Linked DNA regions of Rattus norvegicus. The protein of the gene in region 1 purifies or fractionates together with the protein of each later gene. This does not show direct contact. Links are inferred from orthologs where the notes say so. Each region holds a gene or a part of one and is shown on either strand. Other genes may lie near its edges. The genes, in order: Tsc22d4 and Nrbp2.

Evidence for each region.
Region 2: the proteins of Tsc22d4 (region 1) and Nrbp2 purify together in Homo sapiens (affinity purification with mass spectrometry; 3 studies listed by BioGRID and IntAct, counting the BioPlex papers as one, with this or other methods). This does not show direct contact. The link is inferred for Rattus norvegicus from reciprocal best matches to the Homo sapiens genes TSC22D4 and NRBP2.

The regions. Positions count from the first base shown.
Region 1 is NC_086030.1:24,584,930-24,591,975, reverse strand, and holds the start of Tsc22d4 (TSC22 domain family protein 4), read left to right. Parts: upstream 1-3,169; 5' UTR 3,170-3,646; intron 3,647-4,081; 5' UTR 4,082-4,352; coding exon 4,353-5,096; intron 5,097-7,046.
Region 2 is NC_086025.1:109,676,935-109,683,786, forward strand, and holds the end of Nrbp2 (nuclear receptor-binding protein 2), read right to left. Parts: intron 6,849-6,852; coding exon 6,765-6,848; intron 6,683-6,764; coding exon 6,627-6,682; intron 6,550-6,626; coding exon 6,454-6,549; intron 6,039-6,453; coding exon 5,906-6,038; intron 5,794-5,905; coding exon 5,691-5,793; intron 5,593-5,690; coding exon 5,542-5,592; intron 5,464-5,541; coding exon 5,328-5,463; intron 4,436-5,327; coding exon 4,382-4,435; intron 4,298-4,381; coding exon 4,234-4,297; intron 4,149-4,233; coding exon 4,093-4,148; coding exon of another isoform or gene 4,008-4,092; coding exon 3,939-4,007; 3' UTR 2,396-3,938; downstream 1-2,395. UniProt on the Homo sapiens protein: May regulate apoptosis of neural progenitor cells during their differentiation.

The DNA.
Region 1 (7,046 bases):
TTTTGTTTGATTTTCGTTTTTCAGTACAGGGTTTCTCTGTGTAGCCTAGACTGTCCTGGGACACACTCTGTAGACCAGGCCAGCCTAGAATTCAAAGATCTGCCTACTTCTGCTATCCGAGTGCTGGGATTAAAGGTGTGTGTCGGGGTTGGGGATTTAGCTCAATGGTAGAGCGCTTGCCTAGGAAGCGCAAGGCCCTGGGTTCGGTCCCCAGCTCCGAAAAAAGGAACCAAAAAAAAAAAAAAAAAAAAAGGTGTGTGTCACCCATCCCCCCCCCAACATTTACCTATCCTTAAAAACAAGCACATACTACTTTTGCAGAAGACTAGAGCTCAGCTCCCAGCGCCCACACTGAGTGGCTCACAACTCCCTGTAATACCTGCTTCAGAGGATCAGATTGCCCAGCAGCCTCAGGCACCTGCACCAATGGGCACATTCCCACAACCAAACACACACACACACACACACACACACACACACACACACACACACACACACACCAAATAAACTGTAAGACGGGCACATTGGGGCATCCTTTTGTCAGCATTTGGAAGGCAGAGGCATGCAGACCTCTGAGTTCAAGGCCAGTGTGTTCCGAAGCTCAACAGTGAAGTGTTGAACTGAACTAGCATGCCTAGGTTAACTCACGAGCACTGAGTCTACCACGATAAGAAAGGTGATGAGAAGTTTCCATGAATGTCAGGTGTGGCGGCTGCGTTTGTAATTCTTGGACTCAGTTGTGTGAAAGAAGAATCAGGATTTACTTGGCTACCAGCTTGGGCTATTAAGACCTTGTCTTAAAAAAAAATTATGTGAGTCAAAGCAAGGAGTCTAGATATCCCCATAGAAACCTGAATTCTGCTGTAGAGAAACAATGAAATGCTTCTGAGCCTCAATTTCCCTCTTTGAATATCTGCATTCATGCCATCTTTCTTCCCTTTGAGAAAAGGTGAAGGCTTAAAACTACTTTTTTGGGGTTGGGGATTTAGTTCAGTGGTAGAGCGCTTGCCTAGCAAGCACACGGCCCTGGGTTCGGTCCCCAGCTCCGGAAAAAAAAAAAAAAAAGAAAAAGAAAAAGAAAAAGAAAGAAAAGAAAAAAAACTACTTTTTTTTTTTTTTGGCAGAATCTTATGTAGCCCAGGCTAGCCTCTTATTCACTGTCCCAAGAATAACCCTTCCCTCTAGAGTGCTGGGATTACAGGTGTGTAATTTACAGTAGTTTACCGATGCTAGAGATGGAACCCTGGTCTTTATTTATATGAGGCAAGCACTCTACTAAACTATATTCCCAGACCAACCAACAGTTCTTTCTTCTTTTTTTTCCTCCTGTCTGTCTGTTGCTGTTGAAATAGGATCTCATGTAGCTGAGGATGGCCTTGAACTCTTCAGCCTCCTACTTCTATGCCATCCCCCATGATCTGGGATTATAGGCATGGACGCACACTGCCACAACCACCTAGAACCCTTCTGTTTGAATAAAACTAATTAGAACCTATCTCCTTCCAAACCTATGAGTGACAACAGATGCTGCCTTTAGATCCTGCTCTGGCTGGAAGACTCTTGCCCAGAAGCCACTTCTGAGTGCCAAGAAAGAAAAATGGCAGTTGGTAGCTTGTTTTTTTTTTTTTTCTTGCCAGTCGCAGAATATACCCTTTATATGTGTGTGGATTCTCTATAATGATGAAGTGATAGTATGGGACAGGTGGGAAAGGGTTGGAAATGGGGAAGAGTCTATGCCTGCTGGGATTGGTTCTCAGGTATACCTATGGGGTAGTCCTGTGGACATAGGTGTGTGTCCGGCCACTGTGGGGAAACATAGGTGAGCAAGTTCACCTTCAGGTCTACCTAAGTGTTTGTGTGAGGGACAGATAAAGACGGAGATGAGAAGGTGGCAATGCCTATCCTGGGCTGAGGAGAGGCTCAGCAGGCAAAAGCCCTTGCTACTCAAGCATGAGGATCTGAGTTCAAATCTTCAGCAGTCCCATGAGAAGCCGGGGCATAGCCCTGTGTGCCTATAACCTCAGTGCTGTGGAGAAGAGATGGGAGGATTATTGGGGTTTGCTGGATGCCTACCAAGCTGTGCGTTCAATGAGAGACCCTGAGTAGGACACCCAGTGTGGTCCTCTCACTAACAAACACACAGGTGTTGCAACCGCTCATGCATATGCACACATGCCACACACACACACACACACACACACACACACACACACACGTGTCCTACCACCAACAGCCTTCTTGTATGGTCTGCTTCTCCAATTTTCCCTTTTAAGAGAGGGAAAGACCGTATCAGAGGCTTGATTTCCAATACAGGAGCATGATAGATAGGATGGCTCAGTGGGTAAAGGGCCTTACCAGCAAAGGACCCCCATTATTAGTGGAAGAGAAAACGAACTCCTCCAAGTTGACCTCCAGATGTATACACACACACACACACACACACACACACACACAGAGAGAAAGAGAGAGAGAGAGAGAGAGAGAGAGAGAGAGAGAGAGAGATCCAAATATTGCAGCAAAATCCGAGAAAAGATATTGGAGGGACGAAAACACGATTGGGCAAAGCTGATAATTGTTACAAGTCCATGATGGCGCGCGTGGGCGTTCATTATCCTATTTCCTCTACTTTGGGGCATGTTTGAAAATTTTCATAACCGCTCATTTTTCAAAACAGAGTGGGGAGGGGGAGTTTCTCGTGAACTTACGGTGAAAACCAGAGACGCCGTGACAAATCACAGCCAGTGGGTCACACTTACTAGGTATTTATAAACAGCCAGGTACCCAGAACATGTCCAGCACGTTCCTTGAGACTCTTTTGGAAAGCCTGCAGCCCAATGGCACCAAAAGCCCACAAGTAAGGGAATCCCTGGCCTCCCGCAGGCTCCTCCTTTTTCTCTCCGCCCTCCATGCCCCTCCTTCCGAGGAAGAGTTGCCCTGAACCTGGCAGGTATAGGGTTAAAGCAGCCAGTTTGGGGCCGCAGCAGCAGCAGAAGCAGCAGCGGCGGCGGCAGCAGCTGCAACTGTAGGCTGCGGCTGCGGCTGCGGCTGCGGCTGTGGCAGGCCTGGCTCCGGGCCAGCTGGCAGAGAGCCTCAGGAGGGAGGAGGGAGGAGGGAGGAGGGAGGAGGGAAGAGGGAGGAGGAAGAGGGGAAGGAGGAGGAGAGGAGCAGTGAGCAGGCCCGAGAAGGCAGGACTTCCTGGTGTGGGGGTTGTCAACAGCCCAGAAAGAGAGAGCCCGAGACCCAGACTGAGACGGAGCGGAGCGGAGCTGAGGAGCCGAGAGATACATCCAGTGGGGCCACGTGGGAGGAGCCTTGAGAGAGAGCGAGCCACTCAAGGGACTGGAGTCAGCGGGGGGCTGAGCCGCCCCCTCCCACAGCAACAGAGAAGACCCGTGGAGTGTTAACGGAGGCTGCGCCTGGGCTCCACCGTGGAAGCGCTGGTTTCTTCTCGTCTCAACTGCAAACTTTCCACCGAGATGCCTCGCAGAGTGAGATGCGGACGCCAGAGAACACTGGGCAGCCCTTGACTGCTGCCTGCCGTGGCCTGCGCTAGGCCGCCTTAGGATTAAAAAAAAAAAAAAAAAAAAAGGCATCTTTAGTCCCCAGGTCCTCTCTCCAGCTCAGCTCGGTGGCCGAGGCCCGAGAGGTAGGTAGTTTTCTCGGGCTGGGCGGGGCGCGCTTGGCTTGGCGGGCAGTGCCTAACCAGCGATGGGGGAGCTGGAATGGGGGTGGGGTGGGCTTGAGGCCCAGCAGAGGCCTCAGGGTGGCCCTTTCAGGGGAGGAGCCGGTTCACCCCTTTGCCCCTGGCCCTGGAGATACGTGTTGGGGACGACTTTGGATTTCAAGCATGAAATGTTCAACTTTGGGTCCCAGCTGCTTCTTCCTGTTCTGGGTGCTTTGAATTCTGTCCCCTCCGCTCCGGTCTGTCATTTCTACTTGTCTCTGGGTCTCTAGTGGCTTTCTTCTTCCTCCCCCCAGTCGGCTCCCCCGAGAGGAAGCCCCGGAGGTGGTTTGGCCCCTGCTTTTTCTTTTGCTCACGTACACACACTCTCGCTCACTTTCTGTCTCTTTCTTTTTCCAGTTTGCAAGCTCAGCTCTGGGGTTTCAGCAGCGACAGCAGCAGGAAAAACCTGCCTCTGCTCCCCCCCCCCCCCCTCCTGCCACCTCCCCTCTCCAGTCACTAACCAGGCACCCCCAAGTTCCCACAAGGCCCTCCTGCCATGACGGACCCAGACGTCCCCAGGGGCCCTGATGTCCCTGCCATGTGGCCCCCTTGTTCCAGAGGTGCCTGAGCCCCTCTTCAGGAGCCCAGCCCCTCCCCCACCCCAGCCCAGTCCGGAGCCCTAGGGACCATGAGTGGTGGTAAGAAGAAAAGTAGTTTTCAGATCACCAGCGTCACCACGGACTATGAGGGCCCAGGAAGCCCAGGGGCTTCGGACCCCCCTGCCCCTCCGGCTCCCGCTGGGCCCCCGCCCCGCCTCCCCAACGGGGAACCCAACCCTGATCCAGGGGGCAGGGGCACCCCCCGGAATGGCTCTCCGCCACCTGGAGCCCCTGCCTCCCGTTTCCGGGTGGTGAAGCTGCCCCAAGGTTTAGGAGAGCCTTATCGACGAGGTCGGTGGACGTGTGTGGATGTTTACGAGAGAGACCTGGAGCCCCCGAGCTTCGGTCGGCTTCTGGAGGGAATTCGAGGGGCCTCAGGAGGCACCGGAGGCAGATCATTGGATTCTAGGTTGGAGCTGGCTAGCTTGGGCATAAGCACCCCTATCCCTCAGCCAGGCCTGTCTCAGGGCCCCACCTCTTGGCTCCGCCCGCCCCCTACTTCTCCTGGACCACAGGCTCGATCCTTCACAGGGGGGCTGGGCCAGCTGGCAGGACCTGGCAAGGCTAAGGTGGAGACGCCCCCGCTGTCAGCCTCTCCACCCCAGCAGCGCCCCCCAGGGCCTGGGACTGGAGATAGTGCTCAAACCCTGCCCTCCCTGAGGGTAGAAGTGGAGTCTGGGGGTTTAGCAGCCGGAACCCCTCCTCTGTCACGGAGAAGAGATGGAGCAGTTCGGCTGAGGATGGAGTTAGTTGCTCCAGAGGAGACAGGGAAGGTAAGAGATGGGCTCATGGGGGGCGGGGCAAGACCTACTGTACTCAGTCGTCTGACCTATATCCTGGGCCTCCCCACCTCAACTTCCGTCTCCCCCCCCAATCCCCTATATTGGCTGCCTATTGGGTAGAGCATAAAGTCCCCTTTTCCCTTTTTACAGTTTGAACTGTGAATCCTTTCTTTTTCTGTCCCAGGCCTTCATTACTCTGCACACATTTACACCTTCCTTCCTCCTTCCTTCCTTTTCCCCTTTCCGTCTTTTTTTCTTTTCTCTCCTTCCTCTGTGGCCTTCACACTGTTGCCCTTGGCCCTGACTGTTTCCATAAAACCTGTGGCCGATGTGGCCTGCCCACTTCAGCCTTTACCTTCTCTGGCTCCAGGTGATGAGGGTGGAGGTTCCAGCCTGGTGGCTGGCTAGGCCCTGGAGGGGAGGAGCTGGCAGGGGTTTGGGGCAGCCATAAAAGGTAGGCATTCCTCTGGGTCTTTATTCTAACCAACAGCTACCAGCCCAGCCCCATTTTCAGCCTTACTGCAAACCAGTTTCTCTGAGGAATTGGGGTAGGGGGTGGGGCATATCACCCTTGGTTGGTTTTAGTACCCTAGACCTGGGCTTCTGGAGTGTGGGATGGGGTGACCTCATCGACCATTGAGTGGGAGGTAAGGAAGCAGTTGGGAAGGAGTTAAATCCTCTGCACTTTCTGTTTCCTGTCTCCAAAAGAGGAAGCTACCCACAAGTCTGGGCTGGGGGCAGGATGCCTATGTGCCTGGTGTGTGTGTGTGTGTGTTTGTGTGTTTGTCTATTTGTCTATGTGTGTGTGTGTGTGTGTGTGTGTGTCAGTGTCTGTGTCTGTCTATGTGTGTGTGTTCAGTGTGTGTGTGTGTCTGTGTGTGTGTCTGTGTGTGTCAGTGGGTATGTGTCTGTGTGTGTGTCTGTGTGCCAGTGTGTTTGTGTGTCTGTGTGCCAGTGTGTGTCTGTGTGTGTGTCTCAGTGTGTGTGTGTGTGTCTGTGTGTGTGTCTCAGTGTGTGTGTGTGTCAGTGTGTGTGTGTATGTGTGTGTGTGTGTTGAAGGTTGGGTACTTAGAGATTGGAGAGTTGGATGTTTCTGCTGTGGAGAAAATAACATCTTGGCTGCCACAGGGAAAGCAGGGAGTGAGGATGAGGGTTCTGTCTCTTACTGGCCATGGGCTCAAACCACAGTGTAAAAATATCTTAAGCCTTTGAGCCCTGTTAGAACTGGTCAGGACCAGCTCTCCCACCCTCTCCTGGCCTTCAGCTCCCCATTTCATGGCCCAAATTTCCCATCTTTCTCGTGTTTTTTTTTTTTTTTTTGTTTGTTTGTTTTTTTTTTTTTTTTTTTTTTTTTAAACTCTAGCCTCCTGGATAAGCTATCGTTTCTTGTCCCCAGACTCCAGACTCTCCGGGACAAGTTCCTCAATGACTCTTTGCTCTACTTTTGTTAAATTTATTCCTTTAATTTGTGTGCGTGAATGTGTTGCAGGCCTGTGCATGTCTTGGTGTGCATGTGGAGGTCAGAGGACAAATCCTTCCGCTGTGTGACTTCCACCATGTGGGATCAAACTCGGGCTCAGGCTGCCAAACTTGGCTGCAAGCCTCTCCACTCCCTCAGCCATCTTGATGCCCCTCTGCTCTCCTCAGGCACGGCCCAAGCCTATCTTGGGTTTGTAGACCCTGTTTCTTGCCCCACAGTGTCCCCAGCGCCCCCCCTTCCTTCCTCCCAATCGGCCTCGATCATTTCCTGTGTGCCTGTAACTGTCACTATTTCCCTGCCTCCAGAGTTAGACTTTCTTCATTCAGCTTTATGGTCTGAAAAAGAGCTGAGGGAGGTTGACTGAGGACAGGAGGTGGTTGATACCTGTGCCCCCTTTGCAGAGCTCTGTCCCTCTAACCACTCTTGGCTTTCCTGAGGTAGGGGCCTCTCAGGGGCCCTTG
Region 2 (6,852 bases), on another chromosome or scaffold:
TACCTACAGACTCAGCTAAGCAGGGCTCATAGGGCCTATGCTAGGCCCCCTGCGTATATGTTATGGTTGTTAGCATGGTGTTTTATGGGACTCCTAAGAGTGGGGATGGGGCTATCTCTCTTTTGCCTGCTCTTGGGACCTTTTTTTTTTTTTTTTTTTTTTTTAACCTCCTGGGTTGCCTCGTCCAGCCCAGACATGAGGGTGTGTGCCTGACTGTCATAGCTAGTTATGCTGTGTTGGGCTGATATCCCTGGGAGGCCTGCTCTTTTATAAAAGAAAACAGGAGAGTGGATGTGATGGGGGAAGGGAGGCTGGGAGGGATGGAAGAGGAAACTGTGATTGGAACATATTGGAAACAAAATTAAATTAGAAAAAAGTCTTCACTGTGCCCTTGAGCCCCCTCATGAGCGGCTCCTGCATTAGTGTGGTTACCCATAACCATCTGATAAATAAATGTAAAACAAGAGAAAACACAAATCCAACATCTCAATAATTTATCCAAGAAATGGAGAGAAATCAATAAACAATTCAAGAAAATGTCATCCCCCCTTTTTTTAACTGTAGCAGGTCATAGATAATTTCCAAAACACTAGGCAAAGAAAAGATGAGGAGAAACAGAAGAGCTCTTACACAAAAGGTCAGAATCCAGAAGCCTGGCAATTCCAGGAACTAGAAGAATGTAACATGACACCCTTAAGTCCCGAGGAGAGAGGGTTTTCAGCTAAACAAATGTCTTGTACCTCCTTACATTTTCAAACGCCTAAGATTCCAATAAGGATAAACAGGTCAATTCCATAATTTCCCATCCGCTTTTCTGTTCCTTTTCCTGTGGGGTAAATGAAGAGGAATGCACAGGAGCCAGAGAGAAGAGAGAGGCATGCAGATCCTGGTGCAGGGCAACGCACACCAAGAACCGAACCACAACACAAGAACAAGCAGCAGGCTCGGTCACTGTGCTGGGTCCTAAATACTGAGAGGAGCCCAAAGACAATGGCAAACACATAACAGAGGAGCAGAGCTGGGGAGTGGCTCGGCAGTTAAGGGGGCTTGCCACCAAGCCTGATAATCTGGGTTAAATCCCTGAGTCCACATAGTCGGGGGGGGGGGGGGGGAACCTAACTCCTTCAGGTTGCTGACTGACCTCCTCATGAGCTGTGGCACAACACACACACACACACACACACACACACACACACACACACCCCATTTAAAAGAACTAAAAAGGAAAATTATTAACTTCAGAGAAAACAAAAAAAATTGTGCAATAGGCAAAATACAATGTAGGACAGGTTGTTCTCTGCTAAAACCTACACTGATGGAACGGTAATACTCATCGGTGATGCCCATCAAACTGGGCTGATGCTGGGACAGAAGGTTGGCAGGTGACTAGCCCTAAAGACTGCCACGAGGAGACACCTACCATATAAAACCCACTAAACAGGACTAAAAGCATGCTTGTGCTTGTGGCTGGGCACAGTGGCACTTGCCTTTCATTCCAGCACTATGTGAATCTGAAGCAAGCCTGGTCTATGAAGTGAGTTCCAGGCCGTGACAGCTATTCCTGGTTGTCAACCCGACTACATCTGGAATGAATTACAATCCAGAAATGGAGGTTACAACTGTGATCCAGATCTTGAGACTGGAAGACACAGGCTTCCGACCCGGACCTTGGCATGGAGATCTTGAGGCATAGTGGTCATGAAAAGCTTAGGCCCAGGCAAGCTAATGTATACTTTTAATCCCAGGAGACTGAGGCAAGCAGACCTCTGAGTTCAAGACCAGCATGGGATAAAGCAAGGCCAGCACATCTGTTGGAACCTACTTCTTCAGGAATCCATCTTATACAGAAGAGCAGCTGAAACTAGCCTTGTGGGTCTGAGCAACTACTAGATTCTTGGACTTCCCATTCATAGGTGGCCACTGTTGGGTACTACAGACTAAGTCATTGCAATAAATTCCCTTACTATATAGAGACATTCCATAAGTTCTGTGACTCTAGAGAACGCTGACTAATACACAGGCTGAGGCTATGAGATTTGAATTTGTGTTAAATCAGGGTAGAAGATTACTCACTGTTGACCTTGCCTGGCAAGTCAACTTTTAAAACACTATGTTTGCAGTAAGGCACAGTGGCTTATACCTATAATCACAGCACCGGCCTGGTCTGGATTCTGAATTCCAGGCAAATAGGGCTGTATCCTAATGATAAGCTGAACAGCCGGATGGTGGCTCGTGCCTTTAATCCCAGCACTTGAGAGGCAGAGGCAGGCAGATGTCTGAGTTCAAGGTCAACCTTGTCTACATAGTGAGTTCCAGGACAGCTAGGGCTACACAGAGAAACCCTATCATGAAAAAATCAAAACCAAACCAAAAAAATGCTAAAGTACAGCACTGGTGCTTACAAGTTCAGTTTAATTATCTGTACAATCTGTTGTGGATTTTAAAAATAGACTATGTCAGACCATGCACAATGAGAGTTCATTTAATTTATTAAATGTCCCATGACAACTTTGCTTAATATAGGTTTTGGTTTGGGCTAAGGTGGCATGGAAGGCAACATAGTAACGACATCCACCATCCACGTCTACTCTCTAAGCACCAAGACCCAGGATGATTAGTCTCCAGAGCAAAAGGTACTGTGCAGATGTGGTTAATCTACAGACCCTGAGAAGGATATCATCCCAGGTTACCCAGGTGGGTCCAACCAACTCACAAAAGGCCCCGAAACTCCCCAGCAGTGGAGAACCAGACAGTTAGTCCATGACAAGATTCAACTTGATGCTGCTGGTCTTGAAGGGGATAGAAGAAGAGCTAAGAAAAATTGGTGGCCTCTAGAAGCTGAGAAGGGCTCTTAGTTGGCAGCTGTAAGAAAACAGGAATTTCTACCTTACCATCGTAGGGAAGTGAATTCTGCCAATAGCTTGAAGGAGCAGGAGGTGAGCCCCAACTTCCAGAAAGGAACTTAGCCTGGGTCTTAATCTAGTATTAAACTTTTGATGTACAGAACTGTATGTGTGTTGTCTCAAACCACTGGGTCTATGATATGTGTTAACAGCAGCAATGTGGAACTATTAATAGTACAGTAGTGAGCCTTCCTGGTTTCACACGTGAAGGTTTCAAAAGGAACGTGGAGGCATTACATTTATATACACATTTAAAAACGTTTAAGACCTTAAATTTGAAGTTGGAAGAGAGGAGGCGGTTCAAGAACCAAGAAATCAGGGTGGTTCTGAGGGGAAGAATTTACCAGGACTCTGAAATCAGCAAGAATGAGAGACAAGTTGGGTTAAGGAGAAAGAGGAACCCACATCCTCAGACTCAAACACATTGACTTCCCCGGGGAGGGGATGCAGTGGACGCCTGACCTCTGAGCCCTTAGGCCAGAGGGTTGATGAACAGAAAGATCCTACCCAAGGGCTTTGTGGAGGACACAGGTCCTGGTCTCAAATGTGTGAAAGATCAGAGAGACGGCTCAAGGCAGGTCTGCAAGGCAATCGGGACTGGTCTGAGCGGTGACCATGGAATTTCCTGGCCACAGGTCTAATCCAAGCTCTCTAATCTATGAGTCTCCAATCAGGTCAGGTTTGGTCTGCCTGATGCCCAGCACTGTGTCTGACACCTGAAGGGCCCTATTACTTTTGAGACCAGGCTCCTTCCTAGGTTTCTGCCACCTGAAGGCATGGCTGTTGTCCAGTACCAGATAGAGTGTGGGTCCCCTAACTGACCTGTATCCACTCCCATCCAGGCTCAGGGCTCCATCACCACCCCAGGGTCCCACACTGCTGCAGAAAGCTGTGGGGGAGGGGTCTTCACTAGCAAGACCTGTATTCAGTTCCAGGGAACACAGGCAGAAGGCAGCTTTGAGCAGTGTGGGGCTCTTTGACAAGTGGACAACCCTGAGTCCTGGTATCTCTGCTGGGCTGTCAGGACTGGAAAGGTCACGCTTGTGTCCCACGGTACTTGAGAAAAGTGGTCTCCAGAAAGGCTGCTAGCTTTGTCCGGTCATCCTGCAGTGGAGGGGGTGGGGAAGCACGGTAGTACTGGGCAGCTCGGCAGACTGCACCTTTCCAAACCCGAGGCGCACCCGCCCACCTCGTGCAGGAAGCCATAGTGCACTAGTTCGGCGGCGAGGTCCTGGGCACTGTCGGCTGAAGAGAGAACACAGGACAAGTGAGTTGTGGCACTAGCCGGTGCCTGAGCCCCAGCCCACCACCTGATCCCCTACCAGCCTACTTGGGAGCAGATCATAGGTCAGCTGCCGATGTAACCGGTCCTCAAGCACCAAAAGCAGAGTAAGCTGTCGACGGAAGGGCGTGGTCAGGGCGGTGCCAGAGTTGATTGGTCCCCGTCTTTCCTAGTCCCACCCAGGGCCCTTGCTCACGTGCCACCGAGCCTTGTCCTCGCTTCTTTCCAGGTTGCACTGCATCTGGACCACCTGTGGCAGGGGAAGTGTATTAGCCACAGAGTATTATTTAACAAAGGAGCCCAGAAGGATCAGCAGAGACCCAAAAAATGGTAGACATCTCCAAGGGAAGTCCGGAAAACACATCTTACTGCACCATCCCTGAGGTATTAGGGAAGGCTTCCAAGAGTAGTAGCCTTCTGTTGGGTACTGAATGATGAATACAATGCCAGAGGGAGAGAGGGACAGAAGGAGAGACAGAGACAGACACACAGAGAGAGGCAGAGACAAAGAGAGAGACAGAAACAGACAGCGAGACAGAGACAGAGAAAGAGAACTGTGGAAAGCAAGGAAATGCTGTGTCTCAGGGTGCAACAGTACAGAAAAATGGGGTGCCACCAGGAGCAGGACAGGGGACTGAGGCTGATTTCTTTTCTTTTTCTTTTTCTTTTCTTTTCTTTTTTTTTTTTTTTTTTTTTGGTTCTTTTTTTCGGAGCTGGGGACCCAACCCAGGGCCTTACGCTTCCTAGGCAAGCGCTCTACCACTGAGCTAAATCCCCAACCCCCTGAGGCTGATTTCTACTAGCTCTCTGTGCAGCTGGGATCCAGGACATGTAGACGACTGGCATTTGAATTTAGTGTGTGCTGAGGAAGGATGGAAGCTAGGATGGGGGAGATCAGAGTGATGGCTCTGGATCCAGATGGGGAATGGAGGTGGCCAAAAGCCTATGGAAGAGACCACGCAATGGGATGGGGAAGGACTGTAAAAGCAAGAAGCCTCTGGGGAAAAATGGTCAGCTTGGATTTGGTCTCTGGAAGCCTGGGGGAGAATTGGGATGGACAGAGACAGGTCCCCAGAGGCACCCATTCCCTGGTTGTGGTTAACTCTGAGAAACAGCATAGTACAGCAGGAGTTGGGACTCACCTTCCTGGTCTCCGAGTCAAAGGGTTCTGGGGTTGGAGTTTTGGCCTTTTGGGCCTCCTCTGGGGGTGGGGCCAACACACGAGGAAGTCCCAAGGGCCGAGCAGCAGCGAAATTCATGAGTGGATAGATGCCATTCCTGGAGATAGACAGGGGGTAGGTAGGTGGGGACTCGGGTCTGATAGTGTTTTTTCTTCACTGTCATGCCAGCTCTCACCTGACATCCTCTAGGAATTTGTCCAGCTCCAAGAAGGAAACCTCTGAGTACCTGGGATGGTATGGAAGAGGTGTCATAAGACATAAGAGGCATCAAGCCAAAGCCTAGCCAAGCAGTTAGGAGGGGAAGCCTCATTTGCCACCACTCACCGCCACTGCATTGGGGGTCCATGGGGCTGGGGCATCTCAGCCAACACTGCATGGAGGTCCATGGCCTTGGTCTTTTCCTCTACCACATTCTCAGGCATGAGGTCTGTGAACCACAGAAATGCCCATGGGGATGGACCCAACCTAAGGGTCCTGCAAAGACCCTTCCATGATCTGACCCCAGGATCCTGGTCCACCCCGGCCCTTCTGCCCCTCACACTGGTGCTGGATGAAACAGTGGGCTGCCAGCAGCTTCAGCGAGTGCACCTCAAAGAGCACTCGGTGGAAGAGGAGGTTGTGGGCTGAGGGTCGGCGGGCAGGGTCCCGGGCCAGGCAGGAGAGGATGAATTCCTAGGTTGTGGGGAAGAAAGGTAGTGGTGGGTGGAAAATCCTCGCTCTAGAGGAGATCTTTCAAGACCCTAGACCCCACGGGTCCAATCATTGCATCCTCCCACCTCCACAATGATGTCCTCCATCATGCCTGCCTGAGAAGGCATCCCATTAGCAGCTCAGGATCTGATTCTGTAAACTTGAGGGCAGGAAGGCCTTGGGCTCCAAACACCCATGCCCTACTTCCATTCACCCTCTTGAAATTCCGTGAGCTCCTAGAAGAGTCTTCCTTTGAGGTGACCTCAGTCCGCCAGCTACGCTTTCAGATGCTAACACTTTCAAATGTACTGACCAGACTACACCTCTAGCCTACCTAGAGGGCTTCAAGGGCAAGCCCAAGACCTGCAGCCAGTCCTAGAGGGGTTAAGCTGCTCACCCGCATGTTGGGGTCACTCAGCGAGTGCCTGGCCCGAGCAATAGCTTCTTCTGTGACTCGGGTATCCCCGTTGGCTTGGATCTCCAAGACCGCCATCTGGGTGCAGGGCACAAATTGGAAATGGTGAGATGGAGTAGAGCCAAAGCAGAGGCTATGAGGAGAGTGAACAGTACCTCCAGTGCACACATCCCAAAGGAGAAGATGTCCACAGCAGTCCCATCGTTGACCTCTGAAATGGGAAAAACAAGGCAGAGTTGATTGGACATTCTGATGTGCCAGCAGGTCAGATGGAAAGCGGCTTTAGGACTCACCGCCATACTCTGGTGGGAAAAAGTGCAGGTTTCGGAGCTCCTCCCGTTCAGTTCTTATAGGGCTCCGGAGATCGTCAGGAAGTGCTAA